Linked DNA regions of Nothobranchius furzeri. The protein of the gene in region 1 purifies or fractionates together with the protein of each later gene. This does not show direct contact. Links are inferred from orthologs where the notes say so. Each region holds a gene or a part of one and is shown on either strand. Other genes may lie near its edges.

Evidence for each region. The genes of interacting proteins can lie anywhere in the genome.
Region 2: the proteins of rcc1 (region 1) and ranbp1 purify together in Homo sapiens (affinity purification with mass spectrometry; 3 studies listed by BioGRID and IntAct, counting the BioPlex papers as one, with this or other methods). This does not show direct contact. The link is inferred for Nothobranchius furzeri from reciprocal best matches to the Homo sapiens genes RCC1 and RANBP1.

The regions. Positions count from the first base shown.
Region 1 is NC_091745.1:40,112,771-40,119,975, reverse strand, and holds the end of rcc1 (regulator of chromosome condensation), read right to left. Parts: intron 4,184-7,205; exon of another isoform or gene 4,165-4,183; intron 4,036-4,164; 5' UTR 4,026-4,035; coding exon 3,947-4,025; intron 3,763-3,946; coding exon 3,575-3,762; intron 3,496-3,574; coding exon 3,316-3,495; intron 3,221-3,315; coding exon 3,124-3,220; intron 1,941-3,123; coding exon 1,818-1,940; intron 1,748-1,817; coding exon 1,607-1,747; intron 1,525-1,606; coding exon 1,405-1,524; intron 1,306-1,404; coding exon 1,153-1,305; intron 998-1,152; coding exon 822-997; 3' UTR 591-821; downstream 1-590. UniProt on the Homo sapiens protein: Guanine-nucleotide releasing factor that promotes the exchange of Ran-bound GDP by GTP, and thereby plays an important role in RAN-mediated functions in nuclear import and mitosis.
Region 2 is NC_091757.1:31,789,825-31,797,825, forward strand, and holds ranbp1 (ran-specific GTPase-activating protein), read left to right. Parts: upstream 1-2,989; 5' UTR 2,990-3,120; coding exon 3,121-3,135; intron 3,136-4,291; coding exon 4,292-4,425; intron 4,426-4,654; coding exon 4,655-4,812; intron 4,813-5,143; coding exon 5,144-5,272; intron 5,273-5,355; coding exon 5,356-5,424; intron 5,425-5,501; exon of another isoform or gene 5,502-5,629; intron 5,630-5,743; coding exon 5,744-5,892; 3' UTR 5,893-6,557; downstream 6,558-8,001. UniProt on the Homo sapiens protein: Plays a role in RAN-dependent nucleocytoplasmic transport. Alleviates the TNPO1-dependent inhibition of RAN GTPase activity and mediates the dissociation of RAN from proteins involved in transport into the nucleus.

The sequences.
Region 1 (7,205 bases):
CTCTAGATAACACACACAACGTCCGTTTGATGCCAAAATAAAAGAAAACTTTCTTTGTCAACCAAAGCTGACCTCAATGGGATTTTTCTGTAGTTGATCACCCTAGATAACTTTCACTTTCGATAACTTTAATAAACATGGGCAGAAAAGCATTAAAGTTGGTCTTTGTCATCACACCAACAGTGTGGTAAAGACAGAGTATGCCCTAGTGGTGAGACATGTAATATAATGGTAGGCTCAGAGGGGATGCTGAGTCAGGGTGAGGTGTGGACGAGGTGACCGTTAGTTGTTCTTGGTGTCGGGGTGGTGGACGTTTCAGTCCGTGGACGTGCCCTGGTGCCCCGGGCTGCCGGCCAGGACGGAGCGGCGGGGAGCTGGGTTTGGAGAGTGTCGGGGATGGAGTGGAGGGGGTGCGGACGGAGGGCGAGCAGCTACGCTGCGAGGGCCGAACGACGCTGCTTGCAGCTTTAATTCTGATTATTATTGCTCAAAGAAGACCTTAAAAAAACTATTTTTCAGGAGCTTTAACAGTCTGCGCTCTCACTTCCTCGTCCTACATGCAATCACCTCCACAAACACAATTTCAGTCGTACAAATGACTCAGTAAAATTTAATTGAAATCTTAAAAAAAACAAACAGATTAATTTCTCATGATCTAAACCAACGTTTCGCCCCAGGTTAAGAACAAATAAGTTCTCATAAGAGTTTAGGCCTCCGGTGACCCCACGTGGCCTGAACCCCTCACGCTCCCTCGGCTCAGCACAGCAGGTCAAACATCAGCTCGTCTCAGCATCCTGAACGTCTTCCTGTCCAGCACAACATCAGCTCTCCTGTTTGTCTTTGACCAGCAAGACGGTGTGCTGCCCCCCACTGGACGCCATCAGAACTTCACGGTTCTCCAGCTGTTTGCCTGTCATCTTCACGGGGCTCCACTCATCCTCCTCCTCTCCTGTTCCAAGCTGCAGGTTGGTTCCCATGCCCCAAGCATACACCGATCCTGAAAACACACAAACACGCTTCAGTAAGAACTGATATCTAGTCTGGTTTCATTTAATGTGGCGAATATTACAACCAGTTTAAGCTTTTAGCGATCATCAAAAGGTACGAGAACGTGTGGTAGTTCCCAAAAGCCCAAACGACTCTGCTGCCCACCTTCTTTGGTGACGGCGTAGCTGACAGAAGCCCCACATGACACTTCCCGGGCCGACTCCAGCCCTGTCACCGGCGTGGGCTCGCTCTTCTCTTCAGCTCCTCGACCCAGCCCGAGGCGACCGTACTCGGCTCTCCCAAGACTATAAACCTGCCCTAAACATGTGAACAAAAATCAAAAGCAAAACAATTCTGTTAGTTTTTTTTTTTACGTTGGTCAGAATAAAATCAGAGTACGGCGACCCGTCTGTCCACCTTCAGAGTCTAGGCAGAGCGTGTGATGTTGGCCTCCAGAGAAGTCCACCCAAGTGGTCGTTGAGTTCTTGAAACACGTCAGCTTCACCGGGACGAAACACATCTTGGTGCTTTTAGTGCCTGGAAAGAAAAACAGGATTAGCAAACAGTGGGACCACTCACTGGCACGGTTCAGTTCCCACGACACAAACTCAAGACTCACCGAGCTGGTGGTAGTTTGAGAGGCCGAACCCATAAATGTATCCTTCTTTAGACATGGCAAAGGTAAGATACGCCCCGCAGAACACATCCGTAAAGTGAACCCTCCTATTGAGTTTCACCATCTGAGGCACCAGCAGTCGCTCTGGAACCAAAGCACAAGTTTAACTAAACAGAGACACACGAATGTCTTCAGCCGCGTTCTTTTTACCCACCGAGACCTCTCCTGCCCCCTCTGTTTGAAAACTGCTCCGGCACTCGTCCCAGCTGTCCCTGTTCTGCAGAGCCTGATGTGTACAGATCTCCGTCCAGCGTCAGCAGGACCAGGTGGTCATTCCCTGTGAAAGCAGCAGAGTTCCTGTAAACTGGGATTAAACCAAAGGTGTGGAGCTTAAACACAGTAGGGGTTGTATGAACTAGTCGACTTCACTGCTCTGTAGTGACTTTTTATGCCTGTCATCGACTATTCGCTGTCAGGTGATAATGACCGGCAAGATGCAGTCCTCGGAAAATACAGCAGGTGATGAGCTCCTGCGCGTCGGGAGGTAACGCGCTGTGCCAGAGCGTCGGTACTGACACCCGCCGTAAAACGGACATTTAACCAAATTGTGACCTTTACCCTCTTGTAATTTAACCTTCCCCTCACCCCCATCCTAACCTTAACCAGCTTGCGCATGCAAAGCTCTGATCGTTGACACGCTCCAGACATCTGCGTCCTGAGCACAGCCACAGTAACATTATCAAATCAGGTGTCGCCACCTCAAAAACAAATTTAACATGCGATCGTTCATATCGGCTCATTTCCTTTTATGTATTCTGTCTTTTATTCTTTTATTTGTGCCTGATGCGTTTCGCTGCTGTGGATTGGGGCGCATCACCTGTTTTGTCCTCAGTGAAGCACCTAACTGATGCGGCCGGCAAGCAGCACGCACTCCGCTGTTTTTGCGGTCGGTAGATCTTTTAGAACTGCAGTTCAAAGGTAACTCATAAGGTGAATATATATGAACCCAGGTAGCAGTTTCTCTTTAGGATTGAGAGGAGATGCAGGAAGATAATAAACAGGCAGGACAGAAAAATAGTCAAATAAAAACAAGTTAGTTTTTGTACCTGGTGGTTGCAACAAACAGACACCATTGAAGGTAATCAGAAGAGAGGAACACAAAATGAAATAATTATTTTAATGTTTAGAGCAGCAGGAACTCCGAGAGGCTGCAGGCGCATCAGTGAGTTTGTGGCCGCTGCGCAGGGGGAGGGGGGAGAGGGCTGAAGCAGGGGGAGGGGGGAGAGGGCTGAAGCAGGGGGAGGGGGGAGATGGCTGAAGCAGAAACTACCGTTGTTAAAAGAAATGTGTTTAACTTTGAAAATGTGGGCACAATTTTATTTGTCACCCCCCCCCCCCCCCCCCACTTCAAGTGTATGACGTCATCAACGACTAGTCAAAGTCGACTCAATTTTTATTACTTGGCAGTCGACTTTAAAAAAAATTAAGTCATGCAGCCCCTAAAACACAGCATTGTCTACCTGAAGCAACTTTCACTACAGCCTCTGTCAGCTGGATTTTAACAGGAACGGGACACGTCGCCATGGGATCCAGAAGACCAATCACACCATTGTTGTCCTGAGAGGAGCAAAAGCAAACACACAGAGAAAATAATAAACGATTTTTATCGTCCCAGCTGCTCAAATGTTGTTTGTAAACAGCAGTTGACCAACCCTGAAGGAGCCCCAGATGTACACATGTCCATCCTCTGTGAGTGCAGCTGTGTGGCTGTCCCCTGCAGACACCTGGACCACCTTCTCCTCCAGAGACACCTTTCCTGGGACCATCTCAGATCCTTCTTCTGACGTGTCCCGTCCAAGAGCTCCCTCATCATTACAGCCAAATGTGTAGACCTAAACAAATTAACAGTGTTAAACTTGTGGCTTCTCTGTGAAAATAAAGAGAATAAAACCAGGACTGATGTTCACGTACATGCCCGCTTTCACTCAGACACACGGTGTGCATGCCTCCTGCTGCCACTTGCACCATTTTCTCCGGTAAAGACAGAAAAGCTGGCTTCTTCCTCTCAGTGATGTTCTCACCCAGGCCCAGCTGTCCAACATCACCCTGGCCCAGAACTAGAACCTGGCCTGCCTCTTTACGATGACTCCTGTGAGAAACTGATACAAATACAGACACAATCACATCACATTTACAGTAAAATAAACAATCGTGCGGTTGTCTTTTAAACCCAACAGTGTTTTATTCAATAAGAAACAGAAGGTTCTTAAAGCAGTCTTCTAGTCAGCTTGGTAAAGACATTAAGGTCTGCTCGTCCCTTTTAACCCTGTTTTAATGTCGTACCTTTCACCTTTTTTGATTCACCGACATCTTCTCCAACAGCTGCAGACTTTCTTTTATGGACGGTCTTTCTGGAAGACATGGCAGTCGCACTGAAAAAAAAAAAAAAAACAGAAGGAAAACATGAACACCCACAAAAACCCCCCGATCTGTGATAAAAAATATATATCGAATAAAATACCAACTAAAATATCATAATGACAATGAATTCAATGTGTTACACATTCTAAAGACCAGCAAACAGTCCAAGTGTACGACCGAAGAGCCTTTATCACAGCTGCAGCTGATGGGACTCACCAGCTGTCAGATGGTCAACGCAGCAGCTGACGCAACAGTTGTGTGGTGATTCACACACACACACACACACACACACACACACACACACACACACACACACACACACACACACACACACCTTAGGGCGATATATCGGGCCAATATTTGTCCTTGGTAAAGCCGATTTAAAGTCAGGGACATACTCGAACAGTCCGATGATGTTGCAGGAGTTAATTTAAACACGTTTTACATTAGCTAATAACATCTGCATAATACTCTAAATTAACTTTATTTAGATGTCTGACTTTAACACTGAACAATGCACAAAGTTAAGATTTAACAGTTAGTTAAATTCAGAGTTCAAAAACGGATTCAGCTTCACAAATTGTGAGAATCAGATGATGTTATTAGTGACATTTTAGCATGAAAATCAGGTGGAAACTAGGGATGTAAGAAAATATCGATATGGCAATATATCGTGATATTTTTTCCTGCAATATTATATCGATATTCAAAAGCCGTGTATCTAATTTTTGGAAGAATTTACATGCAAACATTTGTGTATTTTCTTTTGGTGCAATTCAAACGCTTATCGCGAGTTGGCAGCAGTGTGTAATGGGTTTTGTTTCCGCCATTAAAATGTAAACCCATCTGTTATGGTTTCGATACCTCATGTTAAACATGTTAAGTATCAGTTTGGACTGTTTATTACATTTTCTTACAATGAAACATTTTCTTACAATGAATTCAGTCTAAAAAAATCACTAAAATCCTCTGGCTGAATGTATCGTAATATTTATCGTCTCCCCTGTATTGTGATACATATCGTATCGGCAAAATTTCACCAATACACATCCCAAGTGGAAAACATCTGGATATAGTCAATAAATTCAGTAGTAGATATCGGCCATCGGCTAATAATGTCTGGGCATCATTGTCGTTGGTATCGGCCAACCTCTAGTTTTAATCAATAACTGAGATTATAGTCAAACAACAAAGTTGTGTTTATGTAGTTCCCTTATTACTGATTTTGAAGTATTGATGAAAGACACACAAAACACTTCTGCTGCCAGGATTATGTTCCCCTTGGGAAATCATTAAATCGAGGCTCACCTGGTCAACAGAAGAAATGTTATTGAGTCAACTTTACCAGAAAATACAAATAAACAAGATCTAAATGAAATAATTTGACATAAATGTGTCTTTAAGAGTTCTATTTCGTCTAGTCTTAGCCCTTAAGCTAGCTGCTATTGGAAGGATGATCTCCGCATCAGCCAATCATGAAGAGCTTAAATGTACGCCCACCAATAGTGGGCCCCCTCGTGGTATATAACCGCAGTGACCCCACTGCTCACCTCCTTTTTCTCTTCATGCCAAGCTTGAGAGCTTTATTAAAGAGCAAATATTATCTCAAAAGAGCGAAATTATCCGAAGACGACTTACCAGCCATGTCCAGCGACGCCAGACCCTGCCCGACCTGCCAGACGGGCTCCATTTCCAGTGGAGACCTGCACACTAAGTGTGAGGTCTGTCTCGGGGCTCACCACGCTGGCCTGGCCTTGACCCCGCAGGCCTCGTGCCCGTTCTGTGCCGCTCTGCCCGTGGCAGAGAAGATTTGCCGGGTCGAGTACTTCACTCCCGCCGCCGACGAAGAATTTCCGGTGGCTGACTCCTACCCGCTGGACAAGGCTTTGGTTTTCTTCGACGCCGGTCAGGAGCCGGCTGGCTTCAACCGGCTGGATGACGTCACCGACAGTGAAAACTACGATGAGGCGGCATCCCTCCTAGACATAACGGAGGTCGACGAGCTTCGCTCAGCGGGTCCTTCTGCCCCAGTGGCTTCTCGCTCCTCCCTGCCAGCAGTAAGAGCACTGCTCCAGGAGCTGCCCGCCATCATTTCTGCGGCAGCAGCCCGCAAGGGGCTAGCTGTGCCAGAACCGGCCCTGCCTGAAGCGGATGATTTGGCGGGAATTTTCGTGGCAACTCAGACACGCTGTCCAGACCCTGTCTGGCCGCGCTTCCCCGCTGCTATGAGCTGCTGGTCTGCCGCCTTCTCCGAGCCTGCCAAGCTCAAGGCGCCAGTCTCCACGTATGCGCCCATCACCAAGGTCGAGGGGTTTTCCAACCAAGGCTGGCCGTCCGTTCCTCCACTAGAGCCGGATTTGGCCTCGCTGTTCGGCGCCAAGAACCACCTCGCTGGCCCGCGAGCTGTTCCCGCTTCAAAACATGACCAGCTGCTGACGCGGCTCACCGACCGCGCACATCAGTGTGCCTTTCAGACCGGCGCTGCAGGGAATAACATCGCCCTTCTTGCCTTCGGCGTCTCCAAGATGATGGAGGAGCTGGAAGCTCCCGAGGAGTCGAAAGCCGTCATAACTAAGACTGCTGATGCTATCCTCAATTTGTGTGCTGCTGTGCTCACCGGTTCTACTCGCATCGCTGCCTGGCAGACCCTCATCCAGCGAGCGATCTGGCTGAAGGCCCTGCCCTCCATTCCGGAACATCTGCAAAGGGAGATGCTGGATGGCCCCATCACCACCGATGTTCTGTTTGGTCCCCATCTTAGGGGCGTCATTGAGAGTGCTCAGAAGACGGCCGAACTATCGGCTACGGTGCGAGACCTGGTCCACCCTCGGTCAGCCTCGCACTCCGGCCGTTCAGCCAGAGGATGGGACGGACGGCGCGGAAGCTTCAGACGTCCAGCTGCACCGCCCGCTCCACGGAGCCGGCCTCCCGCTTTGGCTCCGCATCAGCGGGACCAGCGAGATGGCGGACAACGGTTCCGGCGGGGCCAGCAGACGCCGTCTTGGCAGTCCCAGGTGCAGGAGCCTCGCCGAAAGCAGCCACGGAAGTGACTCTTTGGGGGGAATGTGTGTGTTACTGATTGTTCTGATGTTGTTGGTTTTGAAATAAAACCCAAAAAACGTCACTCAAAGAGCTCAATCCTACAGTCCTCCGCAGAATCCTCTGCCGAGTTTTCACACAT
Region 2 (8,001 bases), on another chromosome or scaffold:
TGTTATCATTTCCAAAGGCCAAGTATATGTCCAGGACCAGGCCTCATCAGAGGATGAAGCCCAGACCCCTGGAAGAGGGCTTCCCCCACCCCCAGCCATCCCCCCGGTGAGGAGAAGGTTCATCCTCCCCAATAACCTGTGCCTCTCCCTGACCTGACCAATTACCAGGTAATGGAAATCTCAACAAATACCACAGTAACGTATGTATAGCAAATGGGTTTGAGTGTAGCTGATCATGTACGTGTGGTGTTTCAAATGTGATACGCTAGGAAATTTACAAAGGTTAATGAGGCAGTTACATGGAGAAAAACGCTTCTGGAGCCATTACGTCAGTGTTGAGGTCAATAATTGCATTTTGTAAACTGTTGTTCTTTTTCCGCTCCCTCTTCTACACACTCTTCCAGCATGTCACGACCCTGGGGACATCATTGCGGCAGGCCATTGACCTGCAGGGTCACCAGGGAACCCAGGGGGTTCCAGTTCCAACTCCCTCTTCATCTGGTGGGATGATGAGGGAGGAACCGGCTCTCCAGGTGCCTACAGTTTGCCCTAACTCCTCTCCAGGGCAGTGGCAGCAGAGGGACGACACGACATGTAAGGTTTTTATGGTTTACACTCACCCAGTCCTCACATGCCAGTTACAGTATACGAACACACATGATCCACGCATACATACTAATATAAGATGGTTTATAAAGTTAAACACACACACACACACACACACAACATGTAAATGTAAAAAATGCTTAAACTATGTTGTTTCTTTGTGTCTGAAATGCTTTTCAGCTCTCCTGCATGAAGTCCTGGTGAAACAGGAAATAATCCTTCAGCAGCAGCGCGGCCTCACCAAAATGGTGCAGGACCTTTTTGTTGCTGTTGCTGCTCTTCAGGGCCTGACCACAAGGGGGGAGTGTGGAGACCAGGCACCATGGCATCTTCCCCTTGGCAGATGTTTAGGCCCTGATGGCCCTGGAGAGGGAGCTTGGAATCAGTCCAACATTGGCCCATGAATTGGTGAGCTTTTTTTCTGTTCTTTACAACAAAGTTTTGGACAATGCATTTTGGAATGCACATCCAATTTATGTGTTGTTCAATATCTTAAAGTGGTAGATATGCCAAAGGAGTTAAAGGACATGTTGTGCAGCTAACGAGCTCCACCCAATTATTTGCGCCCCCCACGTTTCAGGTCTCTGTCCTTCATCAGGCAATCACGAAACACCAAATAAATAAATAGCGGAACACAATGGCTATCCAGACTTTTCTTTAAGTTTGTATAATATATGTTTGAAAATTCAATGAAAATCAATCTTTGTTGGTTTGAAAAATTAACGAAGATCAATTTTTCTAATTTTAGGGTTCAACACTCAGCCTTGCGGGGGTGTGGGGGTGTGGGGGGTGTGTCCACAGTAAAGGACACTGTGTGGCGGGTCCTCAAAGGAGCCATGACTAATGCCCTCACCAAGGGAATTACTTGGTGAGGGCAAAATGGGAAGGTGGCCTTTGAGAGGCTCCACCTAAAAGGCATTGTAATTGGTAAGTTTAATCACAACAGTAACACGACTGTTCTATCACACAGCTGATAAAATTATAGTTTAGGATAAAATTATTAGCCACCCATGACAATCACATTTCTTTTCAAAGTCAAAATACTTAGTCTTAACAACTTGTTTGCGAAATGGCATGCAGTGCGCCTGTGAATGTCACAAGTCTCGAAATTATAACACCACGCTATCGCTGGCTTCAAGACAGCTATTGCCACTTTGCCCGCAATGTGACGCGTTCTTCAGGGTCAACTCTCGCTCGTGAAATTCTTGTTTGGTTTTAGTGTCAGGAAAGAACCGCTGGTTTGTGTTTGGTAAACTGTGGCAGTGTAAGTACTAAGTGACTATGACGATTTGATGTTGTAACTTTGGCTGTCACTTTCAACCCCAGATGACGAGATGAATCCATTAACGAATGCAAAACTGACTTTTTAACTAGCCAGTTACTTAGCCCACCACAGGTCACTTTTGCATGGACTGTTGCGTCATCCTTTTTTAAGTCTTTCTCCATGTATATGCCTTTATTTTCAGCTGCAGTGAGAAGGAATCCGGTCTGTGTGGCATCTACGGAGGCAGAAATTATAAATACAATTAAAAAATGGTTCTACTGGGCTGGGGATAGGGACGCAAAAGGAGATTGCCCGCCCAACCAACCCCTCAACCAGCCCAGGACTCAGTCCAGGACTGACTTTTAAAAAAACAAATAAATAAAATATTCAAATTTTACTCTTGTTTGGTTTTATGTTTATGCACCTTGTACACACAGTAACCTAGGCTATTTCACAAGGCTATTTAACTAAGGCACAAAATCTGAATCTTCTGTACAAGGACATTTTATAGTCTATTAAAATGTTGAATTAAATTTAGCATAAGGTTCAGAATAAAATACAATCTTTTGGTAAACGTTTGGCTAATTATGGATAAGTTATAGTTCATATTTGGCTTTATTGTGGGATTTTGGGATAGTTATGGCTATGCTTTGGAAAGCCACATTTTATTTTGGGTAATCTTTTGGCAAACTTATGGTTACACTTTGATATCCTTTGGCCATTTTGTGGTGTTTTGGGGTTCTTTTGGTATAGTTATGGTTGTGCTTTGGAATTCCACAATTTATTTTGGAAGAATTCTGGCAACCTTTTGACAATCTATAATTCTATTTTGGCATGCCTTATTTGGGCCATATTTGGCCCATCATTCCACCCAAAAGAGTACCAAGACTGGCTTGCCAAACTAGTGCCAAAAATGATTCTGGCAACCTTTTGACAATCCATAATTATATTTTGGTGTGCCTAATTTGGGCCATATTTGGCCCATCATTCCATCCAAAAGAGTACCAAGACTGGCTTGCCAAACTAGGGCCAAAAAGAATTTGCTATCTGGGACTCCATACCAGTTGAGGGCGGTATTGCACTAAGCCGTTGTTTTTTAACCGTCAATAAAAACAACGAAGAAGAAAAAGAACAGGATTCGGCGCGCGAAAGCTCTAGCAGGAAGTGAGAGGAGCTGGAGGCATACGGCGGTCTGTTTGGTATTTGAATCTCTCAAACAACTTCCATAATCTTTAAACATCTACTTTAATATGGCAGACCCCAAGGTGAGGACACACTTTCTTTGTTAATCTACACATCCAGTTTCCTTTAAAATTAGAATTTCATGACGGAAATTGTATTTAGTGTCTGAAAATTCGCAAAATTTAGGAAAGGAAGCCAAGAGACAGATATGCGGACAATGAAGTTGCTCTCCGTGATGCTAGAAAAGCGTTTTGGGGTGTTTTCGCCCACTGTCATTCACGCCAGTTACATAAAAACATCGCTGAAACTAGTGTGTTGTACATTTGCTTTGAAATTTGACATAATATGTCGCTGTAGTGTTGAGGTTTACGAGCTCCGAGAAGTACACTGAAGTATCCAGCGAGTCAGCATGTTAGCCACATTACAATGCTCGGTAGCAACGTTAGACGATTAACATCAAACAATTAATAATTTATTGTTGTCTTTACGAAGTTGTATTAATCTACTCATCAGCTGGAAGCAGATAACGCGGTTAGCTGCGGTTTTTGCCTTTGTCTGCCTACTACAACAGTTGCTAATGCTAGCATTCATGCTAGGGCGAAGGGGAGAGCAACCCCGTGTTGTTTTATTAACAACAATGTTGTAATGAAGTCTGAGTTATCCCCAGACTAATGCAGAACTTCCAGATTAGCGTGTGTTTTAGTTGTTTTCGTTAGACCGAGTTAACAGCCCAACCATGATTAGCCGCGGTCTAGCGTCAGCCTTACAGGCCTCTAACTAGCCGGGCAACGTAGTTATCGGTTAATTAAACAACTCTAGTCTGACTGAGTTAATTTCATTTTAGAATTATAGCTGCATACTTAAGATATATAAACGATAATTGAGATCAGTGAATAAACACGTTTTTGTAAACCATCAAACCTGGAAAATGGCCCTCTGAAAGTTTTAGATGGGATTTTTTTCAATTTGTAGCTTCATGGCTTTTTCATGTCACATAAATTGTTGTCTTTAGCCATCCTTTAAAACTGACTGTACATCTTCCTGAATTTTTAAGCACTTTAATGGAGGAAAACGTGTATAATAATGATGAAAAGCTGCGGTTTATCAAAGCTCTTGTATTCCTTTACTGAAACATTTATTGTTTGTTGATGCCTTCACTTTGCTCCTGTAAATTCAAGAACCGCACCGACAAACATAAATGCTGTGCTACGTTTTCTAAACCCACTTCTTTTCTCTTAGGATCAGGAAGACCACGAGCCCACTGCAGACAATACAGAGGACTCCAATCACGACCCACAATTTGAGCCCATCGTGTCTCTCCCAGAGCAGGATGTTAAAACATTAGAAGAAGACGAAGAGGAGCTCTTTAAAATGTAAGATGCTTCATTTGTCGCATTTGTTTTATTTTCTTTACGGGGTTACAAATTTGATTCTTGACGTGAACATTAGCCATTTTCTGCCCAAATATTTGCTGTTGATTAAAATTTAAAAGGAAAAAAGCTGGTTATTGGGGAGATTCTACAAGCAATCTTTTATTTTAAATGCTCATGTTTATCGTTAGTATAAAAGTTAGTTTAATGAAGGACTTTCCTGTTTTCCTAGGCGAGCTAAACTTTATCGCTTTGCCTCTGAGAACGATCCACCCGAATGGAAGGAGAGAGGAACTGGTGATGTCAAGCTGCTGAAACACAAAGAGAAGGGTACAATTCGTCTCTTGATGAGGAGAGACCGAACCCTGAAGATTTGTGCCAATCATCATAGTGAGTCATTAAGTCAAACCACAATTCAAGACCTAGCTGGACTTGTTGGCGTGTGTACATTTAAATTAAAAGTGAACCCTTATGTATTCTGGATTCTTTAGCATCCTGAGTAAACAGGAGAAACACTTGAGAAAACAGGTCATGCTCATCTCTATCGTGACTAACCAGTACACCTGTCTGATCTGCAACTGAAGCTGGAAAATTGAGAATGATTTTGCAAAAGAGCTTCCGTAATTTCTCAAAATGTCTGCAGTATTTGGATTTATAAAGTAACTTGTGGTCTCTTTTTATAGCGGTGTTAATGACCCTTGCACCCTCTTGTGAATGACAGTTTTTCCCGTGATGGAGTTGAAGCCAAACGCTGGCAGTGACAGAGCATGGGTCTGGAACACATTAGCAGATTACGCTGATGAGTCCCCCAAACAGGAACTCCTGGCAATACGCTTTTTAAATGCAGAAAGTACGTACTTTAATCCAGGTGTTGTACTAAGAGCTGCTCATACGTGCTTACTTTTGCTCACACATGATCATGTCTGTCCACAGACGCTCAGAAGTTCAAGGTGAAGTTTGATGAATGCAAGGAGGAAGTGAGAAAAGTTCTAGAGAAATCAGGTGAGTAAAGCGTAAACCTCAGTTGTGAATGGATTGAGGTAAAGATGAACTCCAGTCTTTTTAATCATTTAAAGGCTGCAGACACACTCTGTTCTTTGCTGTTCACTCCAGCTTGGGACTTTTTCTGTCTGCTACATGAACACACAGGATGTACCAGTGCTAGCTTTACTACAGGGCTGGCGTCAGTATGTTCTGGGACACACACACACACACAGAGAGTTATCAAGTGGTGTAAATATAAAGCTTTGTGAAGAAAAGCTAGCTTGTTAAATTATTCATAGCTTTTGATGCCATGGCTTGTTTTATTGCTTCAACACAGGGGAAGACCTCGACAATGAGAACCAGGTGGTTGAGAAGCTGGGGGGGTTATCCGTTAAAGACAAGGTGTCTGCAGAAAAGGAGGACAAAAAGGAAAGTGAGAAGAAAAAAGATGAGAAAAAGGAGCTGAAAGCTGAGGAGAAGAATTAGAAACCCAAGAACTTGCTTTGCTGATCTTCAGTTTATCATGTTTCTCCCTTTTTCTACAATAGACTCTAAATGAACAGAATTTGGACACTTGCATTTTTTTTTTTTAAATCTGTTTTGCCTCAAGATCACAGGTCTTTGATGCTGTGTGGGAAAATCAGTGATTTTGTGAAAGAAAAAAGCTCCTCCCACGCTTTTCCCTCTGCACAATGGAAAATCATGCCTACCATCACTTTGTCACCAAGCGTTCGATATTACTGACAAACTGAAGGGGCTTGTGAAAGAGATCATTCCCACTTTTTGTTTTTCATTATTCTGAAGCAAAGTTCATTTGTGAGGAGAGAGGATAATGTAGCCTGCTTATTAGCAGTACAGGGTCTGGGACCAGGCATTATGGAGGATGAAACCCCATGATGCATCTCAGCGGGCCTTCGCACCCTGTTCACACTTCTGCTGCTGTTAGATCACAAGTAAGATGAAGACTTCTTGGTTGCTTTGTAGAGGTAGTTCTTTCTCAGCTCCTCTTTACTCGGATCTGTTGGTAGCGGACTTCAAGAGGAGTCCTCCAGACAGATTTCAGATGGCCACGTTCACCCATCCCTGACTGAGGTCAGATGCACTTAGCTAAGAACTTCATATTCCCTTTTGTTTCAGACTTTTCAGATCCATTAAGCCCAAAGTAAACCGTTTCAGTTTGGTGTGGAACTTTTGCATCTCACCAAGACATCAGTTTGTTATTTACCATAACATCTCCAGACTTTAGAAGCATGTGTGTAATGGAGTGCACCCCCATCTAATCTGTTCACAACTCTCCTTTTCGTCCCACTAATTAATTTCTTAACCTCCAATCTCAAGTGCATCTAAGTGCCAGTGCATTCTGTAAATACATGTATGTGGATGAAATGTTACTCTTCATTTGCACTCGGATGATCTGAAATGTTTCCTCTAACTTCAAATAAAGCCTATCAAAGACCACACATTTGGACCTGTAAAGAAAATCACTAAAGATGTGCTACATGAGTGTCCTGGTGTGTTCGTTAGGAAGGAATCTGATTCACTCAAAGTTGGAAAGTTTATTTACTTTGCTTGGGTCACTGGGAATTTTTCCTCTTCACAAAAATAGGAACACATACAGTTTATTCTGTATTATACACAATTGTCTCAGAAATCAAAGTCAGCTTGTGGCTGGTAGTCGTTGCCCGTCAGGAATGGCCCCTGACCTGCAGTGATGTCCATCCTAAAATAAAAACAAGACTAATGGCAGTCATCTTGAGGAATGACATCGATTGCATTTTGATTTGTGGTCGGATAACTTTGAGGGAAACCGCTCCGTCTCGATCACCTACCCATCCAGGTAGTTGACTGCAGCCTCACAACATGTGTTAAGGCAGCTGGGTGACACCTTAAGGAGAGACCATGGCGAGCTAAATTAGAGCAACGTGTAACCTCCAGCCTGGGCGACAGCAGGACCAACAGCTGCTGTGACCTTTGGAGGACTGAATTAATTAGAAAAGAAAAAAAATCCTTCATGAAGTGATTTTATACCTAGCAACATCACGTCACTTCAAACGCGAGCCATTTTTTATTTTTACCCACCCTGATTCACTTTCTGCTCAAAATAAAATACTAAGCATTGCATTGTCCCTTAAGTGTACAACAGTGTCTCAGACACAACCTCTTGTGTAGGAAACAACTTTTCCTCAAAAGGCAACAATGGCTTATTTTTTAATGCAAATACAGACTTAAAGCAAACAAATGTAACATGTAGCTTTGCTTTGTCTGCTTTTCTTCTGTTAAACGGGCGTACATCTGGACACTAAACAGCAAACACTAAGTGAACAACACCTGAGCTGTACCAGACAGCAAAGTAAATAGATTTTTCCTCTTTCTGCACCGATGTCACCTGCTTGCTGCGACTGAGGTGGTGTGTTTGTGGCCATGTTTGGCACTGATGTCAAGGCAGACTCAATTTAAACCACACTCCTCAACTTCGTCCACGTAGATGACGTGGTTAATCTCCACAACACAAACTATCCGTTACAGTTTATCATACACATATTTTACACATCAAATTAGAGCTAGATATATTTGTGTGTGAGCAGATTTTTTTTT